Linked DNA regions of Neodiprion lecontei. The protein of the gene in region 2 interacts with the protein of the main gene of each other region in a pairwise test. Links are inferred from orthologs where the notes say so. Each region holds a gene or a part of one and is shown on either strand. Other genes may lie near its edges.

Region 1 (7,568 bases), on a different chromosome or scaffold from region 2:
TCTTAGGGTTTTATATCGGAAATTATGGAGAAATGGATGATAATGGAATAGAAAAATAGTAATGAAATATTATTCAGACCACCTACAGCGCATGAAGCTAATTTTCGAATGTATTTTTGGTTGATTTTATCGGGTGGAAAAGTAATAAAATTCGTGTCGATACCAAGAATCAGAGACAAGCCACAAGAAGTTTCGTACCTGAAATTGTAATGTTGTATAAAATTAAACTTACATTTATACCGTTTGATAATGGTTGATAAAAACAACCATCCACTGATGTTTTCTACATTTTACCCAGATTCACGTAGTCATTTTCTGATTCGTTGCAGAATATTTCTACCAAATTTCAAGAGGGCTTTGTTAAATCATTTGACCTACTGTACCATTTGATGACCATTTGTCCTTTCTGGCTGTGCCAAGAATAAATTTTGCTACTCGTTATAACGTCAAACGATACTCAGTAAATATTCGTTTGTACACCCATTTAAACAAGTCATCAATCCTCTATTTTAATCTGATCTTGCTAATATACTTCAGAAAACAATCAAATATTAAATTATTTTCTACAGCTAATAGCGTGCTTAATGTTATTCACTTGCTTGTTTCTACCATAGACACATTATTCTTGTTCAGAAAAAGATTTATTATAGTAGATAATTTATATTCATTCTGAACAAATAACGTACGAACATGCAGAGAATTCTAAAGCTACAATTAAACTACTATCTTCTATGTAATAATAACATCAATACTCAACGACGTGTACAATATTTTTTATTTACTTTGAACATTCTCTTTACGACCTCACATCATATTAAGAGAACAATTTATAGCTTAGGAAATTTTGATACGTTTACTACGTCGTATCATTATTCAGACCGTTTATCTTTAGTATCAGAATCCAACCTACCCAAATCTGTTCTTGTATACGCGGTGGCGACCGCGGCTATCCGTTTCCTTGTAGTCTGTCTCTGTATCGCTGCTACTATCTTGCACATAACTTAAACGATCTCCAGGATTTGACATGTCAGGCCAGCTAGTAGAATGATGAAAGAAAAAAACCAGAAAAATATTCATTAATCACTGACTGTAAAATACTTTAAAGTTTTACGACAATGAGCTACATGACTAGGTGATCTGAATGAAGACGGCAAATCTGAATTTGCATGATTTCCGAGCGGGATGAAAAATTTACAGTATAGAAAAATCTTACAGTGAAATTGATGTTTTATCCATTGAGAAAGAGATATGAAGAAACAGGATTCCAAGGTGACCTTGTCAACTTAGCAATGAAATAACAAGTAAACTACTCCGCGTTTATTTAGTTGCCTTGAACACTTTGTAAAAATATTCTTCTTTTAGAAATTTCAATGTTTGATGAACAATTATAAACGATGCATGAAAAGTTTGGACAACGTTATGCTTTCAAGTCAAACTTGACTGCGGTAATAATAAGAGAATACAGAAGCTGTGGCGTGTCTCGAGTCTCAAAATAAATTGAAGTAAGTTCATTTGCCAAAAGTAATCACGTATCATCGTACTTGCATACGTATATTCAAGACTTTATATTAATAGATCACAGGATCATCACAAAGGTAATGAAATGTTATACAACACTTCACTCGACAACAGAGAAGCATGCCTTGCTTGTACGACGCAGTCGTATTATTGATAAGTGAGATGACGAATCGTACGAGTAACAACCTATAATAACAGTAAAACGTGCCACTCCCTATTTTTTATCTTTCTTTCTTCGTAATCCTAATTTCTTTTATTCACAACGGTTGGAAATCTCGTGGGGAGAAATAAGGAAAATATGTTGACAAGAACATAGATCCAACGATTTTTGTTGGAATCCCTTGAATAGAGTACAGCTAGCATTGTTGGGACTATGAAGTTTAGTTACTGAGAAATACTAGAGGTCTGGTTGTTGTGTGTATAATGTACTTACGAATGATAAAATGGTAAATACCACTCTATTTTCTCCAATAGCCACTTTAATGAGGAGCAAATTTGAACGCTGCAAAAGTAAAACCTAACCTGTCTAGTTTTTTTTACAGTAAATCGCATTCCAAACCAACGGTTAATACCCTTAAAGGTTGTCTGATATTTCTCAATTACCTGATAGACTAGGCCATTTGTTATGGTTTTTTCTGCAATAACTTTATTCTTGTCTGTTCTACGGATCCCGAAACTTCGGCAGACAAAGGTACATATGTTCGGAAGGAGATGCAGAAACAATTACTAGCCGTGACTAAGTTAGTGTTTTTTTTTTTTTTTGGTTTTTCTTTCTTTTATTATACTTTTCTCATTACGAACAGAACGCACAGGTAGAATGATAATTAATATCAAATTGACAATATTTTTTCTTTTTTTGTTTTTCCTAACTCCGTCTGTCACTCCTAATAAATAAACTGTATTCTCGTGTCATATGAATCACTTAAATCGAACTTACGGCACTCTTTTGGCCCGTATTGACGTGCCAATGATTATTTTAACGACAGTCTACTGGCTCAAAAAGACAACATGGTATTAACATTTGATTTGGAACTGTCAAAGAACTCCCCGTTAGCAACTAAGGACTATTTCACGGTCTATACCGGACGGGGTTCAATGGTTGGTCAGGAGAAATCCCTTTGGCTGAAACTTGGAGCATATACTACTGGAGGGAGCTACCTATTCCATCGACCTCGCGATAGTTGCAGCCCGAGTAATGAGAGAGACAGGTTATAACCAACATACACCTCTCTCTCTCACTCCTTTGCTGCACTTTCTGTGTACGCTAACCAGTAGTATGACATACTCTAAGGGCTGAAAGGACTTAAATCAGACAGGCGCGCAGACGCGGGGAATTCTCGAAGCTGGGCAAAGATACCGATGTAGTTATGTAGTGTACTCTTAGCATTTTCTGAATTAGAAGGAATAAATTCTAGGTATGTAACATACATAGATGCGTACATACGTCGTCGATTTATTTCGACGGTAAACCGTGATTGGAGTAATAACAATTCTTCGGAGTGTAAAATCGATTACGATTTCGGTCATTAAACCCTCAACGCATCAATCGATAGCGTTAAAATTTGTCGACTCCTCATTGGTCGAACTTGGTACGTCGACCGGCTCGCTTTTGGCTCCTCAGTCGCTTTGTCGCCCCATCTGGAGAGGGTCGAATGCTCGGATGAAATAAAAAACTGGCGACTGGGATGGCAGTCTTTTCTCGTACTACTACTGCACATCGTATCGTGATTATATCTGTATTAAAATGAAAGTAATTTTTATTGTTGCCAGTAATGCGAGATTTGCTGTTCAATATTTTGTCAGCGTGTTTGATCCCGTGTAGAGAATCGATACCGCTTATCGTATATGCAAAGTCGACTGCTTCAACCCTGGTTTTGATTAATCCGAGTTCTATCTCATTCATAACAACATATCGAAGCAGTTGCACATTTTACTCCCTGGCTGCACCACCTCCACTTCGTCACCGTGCTGCCCCGCATTAATGCACTGACAAACTAAATAATCGACGTCAAAGCTGTCAAACATGGCGAACGGTCTGTGATATCTAATTGACATGTAAAAATGTGAGCGAGCACGGGGAGGAAGCAGTTCGCGGTTCAGTTCTTGTTTAAACTATTCACAAACTCCCGTATAATGTAAATGTATCAAGTGCTCCTGGAGGTTGATGCGCGAAGCAGTTGACCTCGGCGTACTTTCAGCCGGGGCAGAATATAAGGGTATGTTAAACGAGGAACTATGGGTGCTCAACAGACTAAGGATAGAGTGATTCCCACCGGGTCTGCCGTACGACAAACTCGGAAACAGCCCAGAAACCCGAAGGAATCCAGGCTCATTGGATCGAACATTTTTACGGAACACAGCGGTAAGCTGATCTCCATTTTCATTGTAAGACTCTACCCCTCCCTTTTTCCTGTTTTAACAGTTTCATTTTTCTTCTCATTTCATTCAATCGCACTTCCTACACGCACTCATTGTTACTCTTTCCTTCTTTTTTCCTTACCTTTTCCGTTTTCATTGACAACCTTCATCTCATCACAACGTTATGTACTAATATCACACATTGCATAAGTCCAATTTCGAATACAATTATTTTATCCATTTGTTTGCCAAATGAAACATGGAATAGAGACTCGCAATGAAGTTCCTCGCAGATAAAATCACATCGATACAGAATGAATTCATCTCTGATTTACTGCTATTATTTCATTATAGTCAATTCAGAGCCAATGTAATTGTACAAATTTCGATATTATCTTCCATTCCTCGACACAGTGTGTTAATTTATGTCCACCTTCGAATTTCCTTATTCGGGTTTATTTACACAGAATTAAATTTTTCAATCGAACTTCTATACTTATAAGAATTTTATATTAATGGAATCGATTACTTGGAAAAAAAAATGTACTCATTTGTTACAATGGAATTTAGTTTGTCGTACACAGCTATATTTAATACAACATGAAGCAAAACAAACGAGAAACGGCGTGAATCGTGTTATATGACTTCCTTTTGCAGTTATTTTTAACTCTGTGTTCGATATTTCTTTATCAAAGTTTTTTGATTCTGATTAATAAAATTTGCAATGCAACGATTATAAATAGAATATTCTTTATTATCAGTGAACAGTAGCTGTTCATTTCCTGCAACTAGTTCTAATGTATGTGGTCCGAATAATCAGTAATGAATTCTTTAATTGCATTTGTCCGTGTCGCAGATCATTTCTTTTAAAGTTGAATTTATCGGAACAAAATTACAGTAGATTTTGCCCTTAATTCTGAGCTGCACAAATTTTTTGAGAAGCAGTATTTAATTCTTATTCAGGAACAAATTGTGCCGAACTATAATATGTCCTTGTTAGAATGATCAGTTTATTATAAGACTGTTGGAAAACAAACAAAATCGAACAAAGTTCAGATCTTTTCAAACCATTGGAAAGTTAGAGAAACGGGAATATTCACAAATTACAAACTTGCAATATAGCATCAATATCCTTTACAAAATGCATTTTCTTTGTTTTATAACTGAAAATATGTAATTAATGATATCATTCATTTATCGTTTGAGTCTATGTATACTTGCATTGAAAAAAAGGCGGTTAAATTCATTTGACTTCTGTTATTCAATTACTCATACCGATATTCTAGATCTAACGTTGCTTGTCTTGAGGCAAGATGTGACTGATGATCATACATTTTCAGAGGCATTACTACAGAGTAGACCTCTACCTCATATACCAGCCTTACCTGAAGGAGATCCACCTAGCAGTTCAAGTTCTCAATCACTTTCCCAACAGTCCAGCCTGCAGCAGCATAGTAGCGTCACTACTACAGGACTTCTGGAAGCTGCTAATCGGTAAAATATATTGCAAATTATAATTTCATTATATTGTTCCCAATGCAATAGAACATAATATGAGGAAATATTATATTAACCAAAATTTGGATATTTCAATTCATGGGCTTAATTTCATTTGAATAGAACATATTTTCAAATAATTTTCAAATTTAAAACAATCATCACCCAGCCCTAAAAAATGACGAGTTGCCATATGTGCTTCGATGAACATAATATGAGAAACTGTTTACTTACCCTTGATTGTAGATGGACAAGCAAAGAAAATCTTCTGGCTCAAGAAGAAGATGATCCGCAATTATTTGTAGCGTTATATGACTTCCAAGCTGGTGGTGAAAATCAACTTAGCCTTAAAAAAGGTAATTTCTGGGATTTTTTTCCATTCCATCTACAGTATCAATTATTTCTTCACTTGGGTACTATAATCTCGTCACTGCATACATTATACTCTTGACTTGAGGAGATTTAATTTAATTTCAAATTGTAGTTTCAAAATGAAAAAAAAAAAATGTATTCTGAAGTTACTATTGGAAATATATTTATATAGGGGAACAAGTTCGTATATCAAGTTACAACAAGAGTGGAGAATGGTGCGAAGCCCACTCCAGTACAGGCCAAGTTGGCTGGGTTCCTTCAAATTACGTAACCCCCGTGAATTCGCTGGAAAAACATTCGTGGTACCATGGGCGAATATCAAGAAATGCTGCAGAGTATCTGCTCAGTTCGGGTATAAACGGAAGTTTCTTAGTTAGAGAATCAGAGAGCAGTCCTGGGCAACGAAGTATTTCATTACGATATGAAGGGCGCGTTTATCATTACAGAATAAATGAAGACAGTGAAGGAAAGGTCGGTAATGACTCTAGTATAATAACATATCTCGTAGACATCATCTTATGGTAAATTCAAATTTCAAACAAACTACTGTTCTAGATGTTTGTTACAACGGAGAGTAAATTCAATACGTTAGCTGAGTTAGTTCATCATCATTCCATGCTGGCCGATGGTCTGATTACTCAGCTACTTTATCCAGCCCCCAAGCGCAACAAACCTACCGTTTTCCCACTAAGTCCAGGTAAGATACGAAGGAACGGGTTAAAGTATCTTCAATTATTACTAACAAAGTTATCCAAGTCATTGGTTATGTGTGAGCGTAATCTATAAACATTTGGATTCGTACTATGACAAACTCTAATTGCTATTTGTAAAAATTTTAGAACCAGACGAGTGGGAAATTAATCGGACAGACATAGTAATGAAGCATAAATTAGGCGGGGGCCAATATGGCGATGTATACGAGGCATTATGGAAAAGATATAACATGACAGTCGCAGTGAAAACGCTGAAGGTGAGATGCAAAGTGCTTTATCACTGCGTTGTTACTTTTAGTAAAATTTTGTAATATTTCCATAACGTAAAACACACTTTTGCCATTCTCCAGGAGGACACAATGGCATTGAAAGACTTTTTGGAAGAAGCGGCGATAATGAAAGAGATGAAACATCGAAACTTGGTACAGTTGATAGGCGTCTGTACGCGAGAGCCCCCATTTTATATAATTACTGAATTTATGAGCAAGGGAAACCTTCTCGACTATTTACGAAACGAGAGTAAACACCAAATCAATGCTGTTGCCCTAATGCACATGGCTACACAGATAGCCAGCGGTATGAGCTACTTGGAAAGTAGGAACTTCATTCACAGGTAAAAAACCTCATGGCCTTACCCTCAATACAATCTTCAAGCCCTTAATAAATCTTAGCATTTTATACACATGGTTGAATTTGGTCAACTAGGGATTTAGCTGCACGTAACTGCTTAGTTGGAGAAAATCATCTAGTGAAAGTTGCAGACTTCGGTTTAGCTCGACTTATGAGAGACGACACTTATACAGCCCATGCAGGTGCGAAATTCCCGATTAAATGGACTGCTCCAGAAGGATTAGCTTACAACAAATTTTCAACAAAAGTACGTAATTATTCAGATTTTTGTTGATGTGTATTTTTGTTTGACCATTGAATAAAAAATATGTATAAATCATACGGTCGGTAGTTTGTATATTTGAGTGAATTTTATGAAAATTTTTGTGTATTTTTTTCCATGCGCAGTCAGACGTGTGGGCTTTTGGAATATTACTGTGGGAAATAGCAACCTATGGAATGTCTCCATATCCAGGTGTCGATTTAACCGATGTTTACCAC
Region 2 (7,904 bases):
AATAATTTGATGCATTCTAGCAATTTAAGAAATCTCTAAAAATGATTCATTTTATGTTAGGAGCAATACCATTGTTTTTTGACCATCTGTAAATTTTCAAAGTATTTGAAATAAAAAGTGAAACAAACGCTACTATCAAACAGTTTTGAATATTACGTAATTACATCAAAATGACGACCAGATTCGAGATACTGGTTAGCCCACGCTGTGTCTTGGCCAGTTAATTCCTTAATCACACCAGGGGCAGGAACAGGCGCATGAATATTGTGATCAATCTGTCGCATTTCCTGCAGTAAACTGTCCATTCTAAATGTTTGAGGATGAGTGACTGTTTCCTCTAAAAACTGCTTAACCAAGTGGTCAGAATCAGACGCCTCGAAAGAAGTGGATGGCATAAATGGCCGGCCAATGCCTTCCTCGACAAATCCATGGTCCTGAACATAATGCGAGGCGAGACGAGCAACCGAACTCGGCCCTCCGCAGTCTCCCTCGACCAAATCGCGCAGTGCCATTACTGGATTCTAAAAGAACGCAAAGATGTTTTGACATGTTTGATTAACTGATACGCTATCTGCAACTCGTATTCAATTATGTAAAACAAGTGTACAAAAAGTGAAGCAAGAAAAAAAAAATAATGACCTTGCCAAAATAGTTGTGATAACTCTATATTCATGTTGTCTTTTTGAATGAATTGAAAGTCAAGTCAAGTTTCTACTGCTTGATAAATAAAAAAAAAATGTAATGAAACCTGAAAACTACAGGATTAGGTGAAGTTAATTAATGGATCTAAGGAAAAGAAAGTGTGTACAGCCTTTCCTAGTGTCACGTTGTTTACACGATGAGCAAAAATGAAAAAGTAATACAATAAAGCAAGGTGAGGATATACGAAGTCAAAGCTCAGAAAAAGTGCAAGGAGAGAATAAAGAGACACTATATTCTAACGGACTTACGAAATATACTCGACTTAGAACGAAGGCTGAATTATCTCCGATAGCTGCAATAACAAAAGACGGAGGTTATCTCAGGCAGCAAGAGTTTCCCATCCATGCAGCAAGTGCCAATTGTGTTATTTGTGGTTTGTCTACATCGTTCGAAAACACTCGCTTCCACCGCACGTCCGTCGAGTACCGATCGAGGGGGCCCCTGATTGTGCCTCGACCCTGTTTTCGTGAAATCAAACCGTGTAATAGATATCACTGCGTCATATCAGAGCCAACGAGGATATCCAGGGAATATATTCTAATGATTACCGACTCTCCGATGACGGCTCGAATCCCTGCCAAAATGACAGTGTGGTTCATGAAGACTATACAAGGAGCACGAAGTTAAATACTTGAATTGACAAAACTTGTCACAGTAATCATACATATTACGTTAATTTTTTGTACCGCTAGCGTCGCTAGTGTTCCTTTAGCAGCGAAGTGTCATTGGTTGCAGGGATGCCCAAGATCGACTAATCGATGATCTTGCAATGGGATTCGTAGAAAGTTTTCACTGCCGCCTTATGCCTCCCCCCAAACTTAGTTTCAGTACTTATTGAACACTAGTGACCTCTCATTTTGGGAAGCAATTTGTATACATCAAGTTCGTGCTCCTTGTATAAGTCTCCATGGTGTGGTTGGTAATACTCGGCGATTTTCGAGACTACTTGGCACATGACGTACTTCCGCTTATGCGCAGCAAGGAGGTGCCCAGGCAAAGGGAATTTTATTTAAGTTATTGAGCAAGTTCGATCAGACGTCACTCAGTCACCAGAATACAGCGCGTGTATTAAAAATTTCTGGAGAGCGCAAAACCTATACAGATCTGAGGACCCAAAAGCCTGACCCAAGCATTGAGTAGTAATACCGTGTAGTAATGAAGAAGGCTAGCCCCTGAGCAATGTAAAACAACATTCCTTTCCTATTAGATAGATAAGTCATAGAAATTTCTGGAAATTACCACAAGTTGCGACAAGGATTTTGAGTTATAACTTTACTGTTATAACATATTACGCCAGCTTTCTTACAGTGCTACTTTAAATCACTCTTTAAATAAACTGGTATAGGAATGCGACCCCAGAACAAATTCAAATAATCTCTGAGCCTATTTTACTACCATGCAATTTGCCCATTTGGTTGGCGTACTTCGGATATCGCTAGTTTACGCCACAACCCTAAAGCATATAGAAGTAAGGAGGACTATCTTTGTGTATAGAAAGTGTCCATGAAATAGGGTGAAATTAAGATGGCGTTGTAGGAAAAGTTCCACATTCAACAGAAAGCACGAATCAGATTGAAGCCTTATTGCTTATTAGAATCATTCTGGTGACTTGTTGAGCCACTATTTGTCGCTTTATGGTGGACACTTTTTCAGTTGATAACCCACGTGAGATAGCTACTTCTTACCTCTTCGCGCCATATACTCGAGGTAGCTTCGCGTATACAGAAAGGTAGCGGAGGAGTGAGAGAGAAAGGTATATGTCGAGTATAATCTGTCTTAAATAATCATCTAATTGAATGCGAGAGACAGAGTGCCCCTAATACTTCTCTCTCTCTCTCTCTCTCTCTCTCTCTCTCTCTCTCTTTCTCTCTCATCACATCGGCTGCAGTTTTCGCAAGGTGACAGGTTGGGCAGCCACCTCCCGTAGTATGTGCTCTAAGGCCACAACTGAATTGAACTAAACATTCGAAATCTCGATGATAATCGACCTAGCGCTGCCATGAAGTTGGCAATTTAACTTGCTAAGTCTAGCAGTATATTCTATATCGTGTTTGTGGCCCATGCCCATAAAATCCACGCTTTTTTATTACCGAGAGATTCTCAGGAAACCACGAGGCGAAGTTTGAAAGCCCTAGGTCAAAAGCAAGTTTTACATGCCTCTGATGCGTGTCAAAGCGTTCGAAATTTTTCACATTCTAACCATACGATATGTTCTCACAATCCATTTTTCGCACGAACCACACGATGCGAGTGTATTCGAAGCAGCTAATGAGAGAATTCGATTAAGGAGGAATGGAGACACCGCGATCCTCCCGATGCTTTTTCTGTTGATTATTACGATTTCGGTGAGATTGTTCGCCCCCGTCGCAGCCGTGTGCGCGACCGGATAAGATTTAACATTATTGGGAAGAGTAGGGTGCGCAATGACCGTCTGCTGCGCGAGGTAGCTGCGCGTTGAGATAATAATCTGGAACCCCAACGAGTGTCGACAGCGCCATGTTGGCTTAAGAGAAGAAGTGCACGGAGAGTAATCAACGTCCGTGAATGTTCTCCGTTTAACAATCTCCCAGCGATGGAGGAGACAAAAATAATATACCACATTGACGACGAGGAGACACCGTACCTAGTTAAGCTAACAATATCACCGGAGAGAGTGACTCTAGCCGACTTCAAGAATGTCTTGAATCGTCCGAGCTACAAGTATTTCTTCAAATCGATGGACGACGATTTCGGGTAAGTTTTGCACCACCCTACGCTCTCCTTATCATCCAGCAGCGGATCACTCGCCCTGCGCTTGTTTCCTTTCGCTCTTGCCCTTTCTCTCACCAAAGCCTCTACGCTACTCCATATTTCATCCCCAACATCCCTCGGGAACCAGGATACCCCGACTTTCAGGGTGCGAACCCACACTCTGCCCCTCTCGCCAGTCACCTTCCTCTATTCGTCGTCCCTGTCGCTCCGCCACCATCCGTCACTTTCCGCTGTCTCTCAGGATCGCCAAACACTATTTCACTTGTCCGTCGGATAGAAATAATCGACAAACTTTACTCGAGTATTTACAAATTCTGCTCTTCTTACCTCAAAACGCGAAATAGAATCTGATGTATAAAACGATTCATTTCTAACACTACTTGTCAACACGAAGCTTTTTCTTCATTCATTTTTTTTCCTGTTTTCTTTGTTTTTTTCCGTGCTTTCGCGTAGACAGTTCACATATACGCAATTCTTTCATTTATCGAACATTACAGAATTCTTGTTTTTAAAAAAAAACATGTTTTTCACTATTGGACTTGAGTTTTAAAACGTGTTTATTGCGCTTTTAGATATCTTGCTTCCATTTTGAAATATACAAGAAACACTTCTTTGTACGATACTTTGACTAATTCGCTCTTGTCCCAATAGTTGTTCTATCTTAGAAATACCAATGGAAATATCTGCCTTGCGTCTGTACTGATTCGTCTTGCATTAACCTCTTGAACTTTTACCTATAAATAATATGTTTTCACAGCGTTGTCAAAGAAGAAATAGTTGACGATGACGCACATTTACCATGTTTCAACGGAAGGGTTGTGTCTTGGGTAAGCACTCATACCCGTAAGCCTAATTAGTTGATTTCATTCGCTGCACATTGCCACAGTAAATAACAAATGGACAATTCATAGAAGCATAATGATGATGTTTTGAAATTATATAAAACTTCTTGATAGTAAAATATTAGTAAGTGTGCATAATTGATGTAGTTAAAATCACTGATGATCATTTTTTGAATATTGTCAACAGCTGGTTTCTGCTGAAGGCAGCAACGTATCAGATGGAGCATCGCAGTGCACAGATTCCGTAGCAAACAGTGAGGCAAAACATGATCGCCCTGACCATGTTACTCCAGGACACATGAACCGAGCACCTCCACTGCTCTCACACGATGACACATTGACAGAAACTGAGAGTATTATAAGCAGCAGGCAAGGCCATCATCTGCACAAAAGTTCGCGGCATCATTCGGACAAATATGAGAGACATAACAAATATAATGGTAATGTGGTTCCTTTGCTTGTCGATTCCAATAGCATAGGATTGATTGTAATTATCTACGACTTTACTGTTATTTTATGATATGATACAGGGTTACGCATAAACGGCCATTCCAAGCATCGTTCCGGACATGGATATGAAACCGCATCGATTTTAAGCTCCGACTTAGAGACAACTACTTTCCTGGAATCTGATGACGATGCGAGCAGCCGAATAACGTCTACGACTGGGCGACACACGAACACAAGCAGTGCCATAGATAGAGCAACCTTAGGTATGATGTTTGTGTATTTTGTTGTTTAGAGCTGAGCTGTATCGAGATTTCTTTTCAATATAAGATTCGTTGTAAACACAACTGGCTTCGAAAATCATTGATGCAATATTCATTTCACTTATAGACCGTCGCAGGACGCAGCGAAAACGTCGTCACAGATTACCACCAATGTCAAGAACGTCATCGTTCAGCAGCATCACTGACAGCACCATGTCTCTGAACATTATAACCGTATCACTCAATATGGACACTGTCAATTTTCTCGGCATTAGTATCGTTGGCCAAAGTAACAAAGGAGGTGACGGCGGCATCTATGTCGGCTCCATTATGAAGGGGTAAATATAAATATTTGTTACCACACATTCACGAGTTACTTCAGTGTCTGCCATTTTTATTGAAATCCATCTTTATCACATATCACTGGGATCAACACGTGGTTTTGCTTTTTTCCTACATCTGTAGATTATTTACACGTTATCACGTTTAGAGTAGCATCTTTACATGTTCAACGACTCAATTTTATAATACAGTTTATTTTCAAGTAATTTTTACAAACGAATAACTTAATGAAAAACGACACGTCAAATTCTGCCTAAGGTTTCGTTTTCACGAAATACGCGGTACCGAAAGGACTCTGTAATATTTATTTTTGTACAGAGCATCCAAAGTTTGATCATGGTGGCTACTGGTCAGGGGGCAACCTGGAAGGCTGGGAAAAGTCGGAATTTTTTTGATCAGGTTTTTTAGCGGTATGGAAAGACAAGGAATAAAACTTCTCTAGAGAAAAACAAAATGCGATAGATATTTGTTGTTTAAATGCTCCTTTCCACGACCACTGAGTGCACCATCAACGTTTTTTCAAATACCGATTATTTCAGAGATCTATTTATTAGATGCTCAAATTGGAAGTATTGGTTTGAATTTCAGTTAGGGAAAAATATTTATTTGGTAGGAAAATTTTTTTTACTATTTTCAAAGGCCACCATGTTGAAAAAACAAACTATAAATTTTTACTCTATTGAGTAAACTTGAATAGGTAACTATTTTGTTATTTTCTTATCGCAATATAGAGGAGCTGTAGCTTTGGATGGCCGAATAGAACCGGGAGACATGATACTTCAAGTGAACGATATCAATTTTGAAAACATGTCCAATGACGAGGCTGTCAGGGTGTTACGCGAAGTGGTTCAAAAACCTGGGTTTGTACAAAAACAAATAGCATCTTAGTAATAACCCAAGTATCTGCGAGAGCCGCCTCAATTTCTAAGTGCACAATTTTCGCTTCAGGCCAATAAAACTCGTGGTAGCAAAATGTTGGGATCCAAATCCCAAAGGGTACTTCACGATTCCACGAACGGAACCAGTGCGTCCCATAGATCCGGGAGCATGGGTTGCACACACAGCTGCTATCAGAGGTGAAGGTTTTCCACCTCGACCTCCTAGTGCCACAACTCTTACCTCAACCTCTAGTAGTCTTGCCAGCACAATTCCAGATACCGAACGTAAGTTAAAAATAACAAAAATCTACTCATGGTGTATTTGAATGGATCTGCCAGCTTGTCATGGATGTAATATCTTATCAGAAAATTTCCTTTGCTTTGTTCTTTTTATACTGATGTATAAATAAAACAATCATTTAGCATTTATAATTGTATTAGTTTCACGAAGAATATCTAAAAAATATTATGCGTAGTTGCAACAAAATCTTTTGAATACATCTATGTGTGTCTGTATTCACGTCTTACATATGACTAATATACTCTATATTATTACTTGTGATACCTGTCAATATTTTCATTTCATTTCTATCCCCAATAACCAAAGATTTATTATTTTTATTGTCACTTTTATCATCCATCATTCAAAATCAACAAGAATCTTTATATTAGCCACAAATTATTTTTTGCATGTTTGCAAAATGAAAAAGGAAAAGAAAAACGTTGATTTTAGAAAAAATTTACAAAAAAAAAACGAAAGATCAATTTATTGTCTAATTGTTCTGATTTGAAGAAATGTTCGAAATATCGTTTTGTTTCAAAATTTAATAAACCCAGTTTTAACAGAAGAGAAAAAATTTTATTTGTATACATTCAATTTTTTTCTATTATCATTTTCATTCATCCACATTCTTATTCCGTTCGTCCGCTCATTCGCTGAGTAGAGACAACTGTGTCCACAGGTCCGATTGAGGAGCTTCATCTTACGATGAATACGGACATGCCTACAATTGTCCGTGCAATGGCAAGGCCAGATTCTGGACTTGAAATACGCGACCGTATGTGGCTGAAAATAACTATTCCGAATGCATTTATTGGCGCAGATGTTGTTGACTGGTTGAATTCGCACGTCGAAGGATTTATAGACCGACGCGATGCTCGGAAATATGCCTCGCTAATGCTCAAAGCAGGCTTCATCAGACATACAGTAAACAAAATAACATTTTCAGAACAGTGCTATTATATTTTTGGTGATTTGTGCTCTGCGATGAGTAGTATGAAATTGGATTGCGATACGGTCGGACCCCTGCCGCCGCCATCTGCATGGGATATGCCATATTCTGGAACTTACGCCCCCCACTCGGCAACTGGATACAGTCCTATGCCGTTTAACTTTACAAATGAGCCTACAGTTTACGGATATCACCGCGAGGAGAGTGTACATAGTGGATCAGGTAATTTTACTCAAGACTATAATGTGACATTTTACAGCCATACAAGTTACAATGCATGGTATTTCATGTCTGATCTTCTTCTGGAAAAACAATCATAGTTGAGGAATCGAATTCTATTTTCTTGTCAGTTAATTTGAAAATCCGTTCGCTTCTGTCAGGGTATTTTCTGTATTAGAATTGGAAAACATTTTTCAAATCGTTCCCATTCGGAAATATCTCGTAACG

The links. The genes of interacting proteins can lie anywhere in the genome.
Region 1: the proteins of segment polarity protein dishevelled homolog DVL-3 (region 2) and tyrosine-protein kinase Abl interact in binary tests that used the Drosophila melanogaster proteins (3 or more experiments, as listed by UniProt). The link is inferred for Neodiprion lecontei from reciprocal best matches to the Drosophila melanogaster genes dsh and Abl.

Annotation. Positions count from the first base shown.
Region 1 is NC_060261.1:5,820,336-5,827,903, forward strand, and holds the start of tyrosine-protein kinase Abl, read left to right. Parts: upstream 1-3,159; 5' UTR 3,160-3,753; coding exon 3,754-3,880; intron 3,881-5,216; coding exon 5,217-5,370; intron 5,371-5,619; coding exon 5,620-5,729; intron 5,730-5,917; coding exon 5,918-6,216; intron 6,217-6,300; coding exon 6,301-6,442; intron 6,443-6,584; coding exon 6,585-6,715; intron 6,716-6,808; coding exon 6,809-7,071; intron 7,072-7,163; coding exon 7,164-7,335; intron 7,336-7,475; coding exon 7,476-7,568. Other genes in the region: BTB/POZ domain-containing protein 10, read right to left, coding at 911-1,036, 1,952-2,070. UniProt on the Drosophila melanogaster protein: Arm and Abl proteins function cooperatively at adherens junctions in both the CNS and epidermis; critical for embryonic epithelial morphogenesis regulating cell shape changes and cell migration.
Region 2 is NC_060262.1:8,144,929-8,152,832, reverse strand, and holds the start of segment polarity protein dishevelled homolog DVL-3, read left to right. Parts: upstream 1-2,881; 5' UTR 2,882-3,274; coding exon 3,275-3,435; intron 3,436-4,210; coding exon 4,211-4,280; intron 4,281-4,482; coding exon 4,483-4,735; intron 4,736-4,825; coding exon 4,826-5,008; intron 5,009-5,132; coding exon 5,133-5,343; intron 5,344-6,078; coding exon 6,079-6,207; intron 6,208-6,295; coding exon 6,296-6,510; intron 6,511-7,169; coding exon 7,170-7,679; intron 7,680-7,904. Other genes in the region: peroxisomal targeting signal 1 receptor, read right to left, coding at 165-512.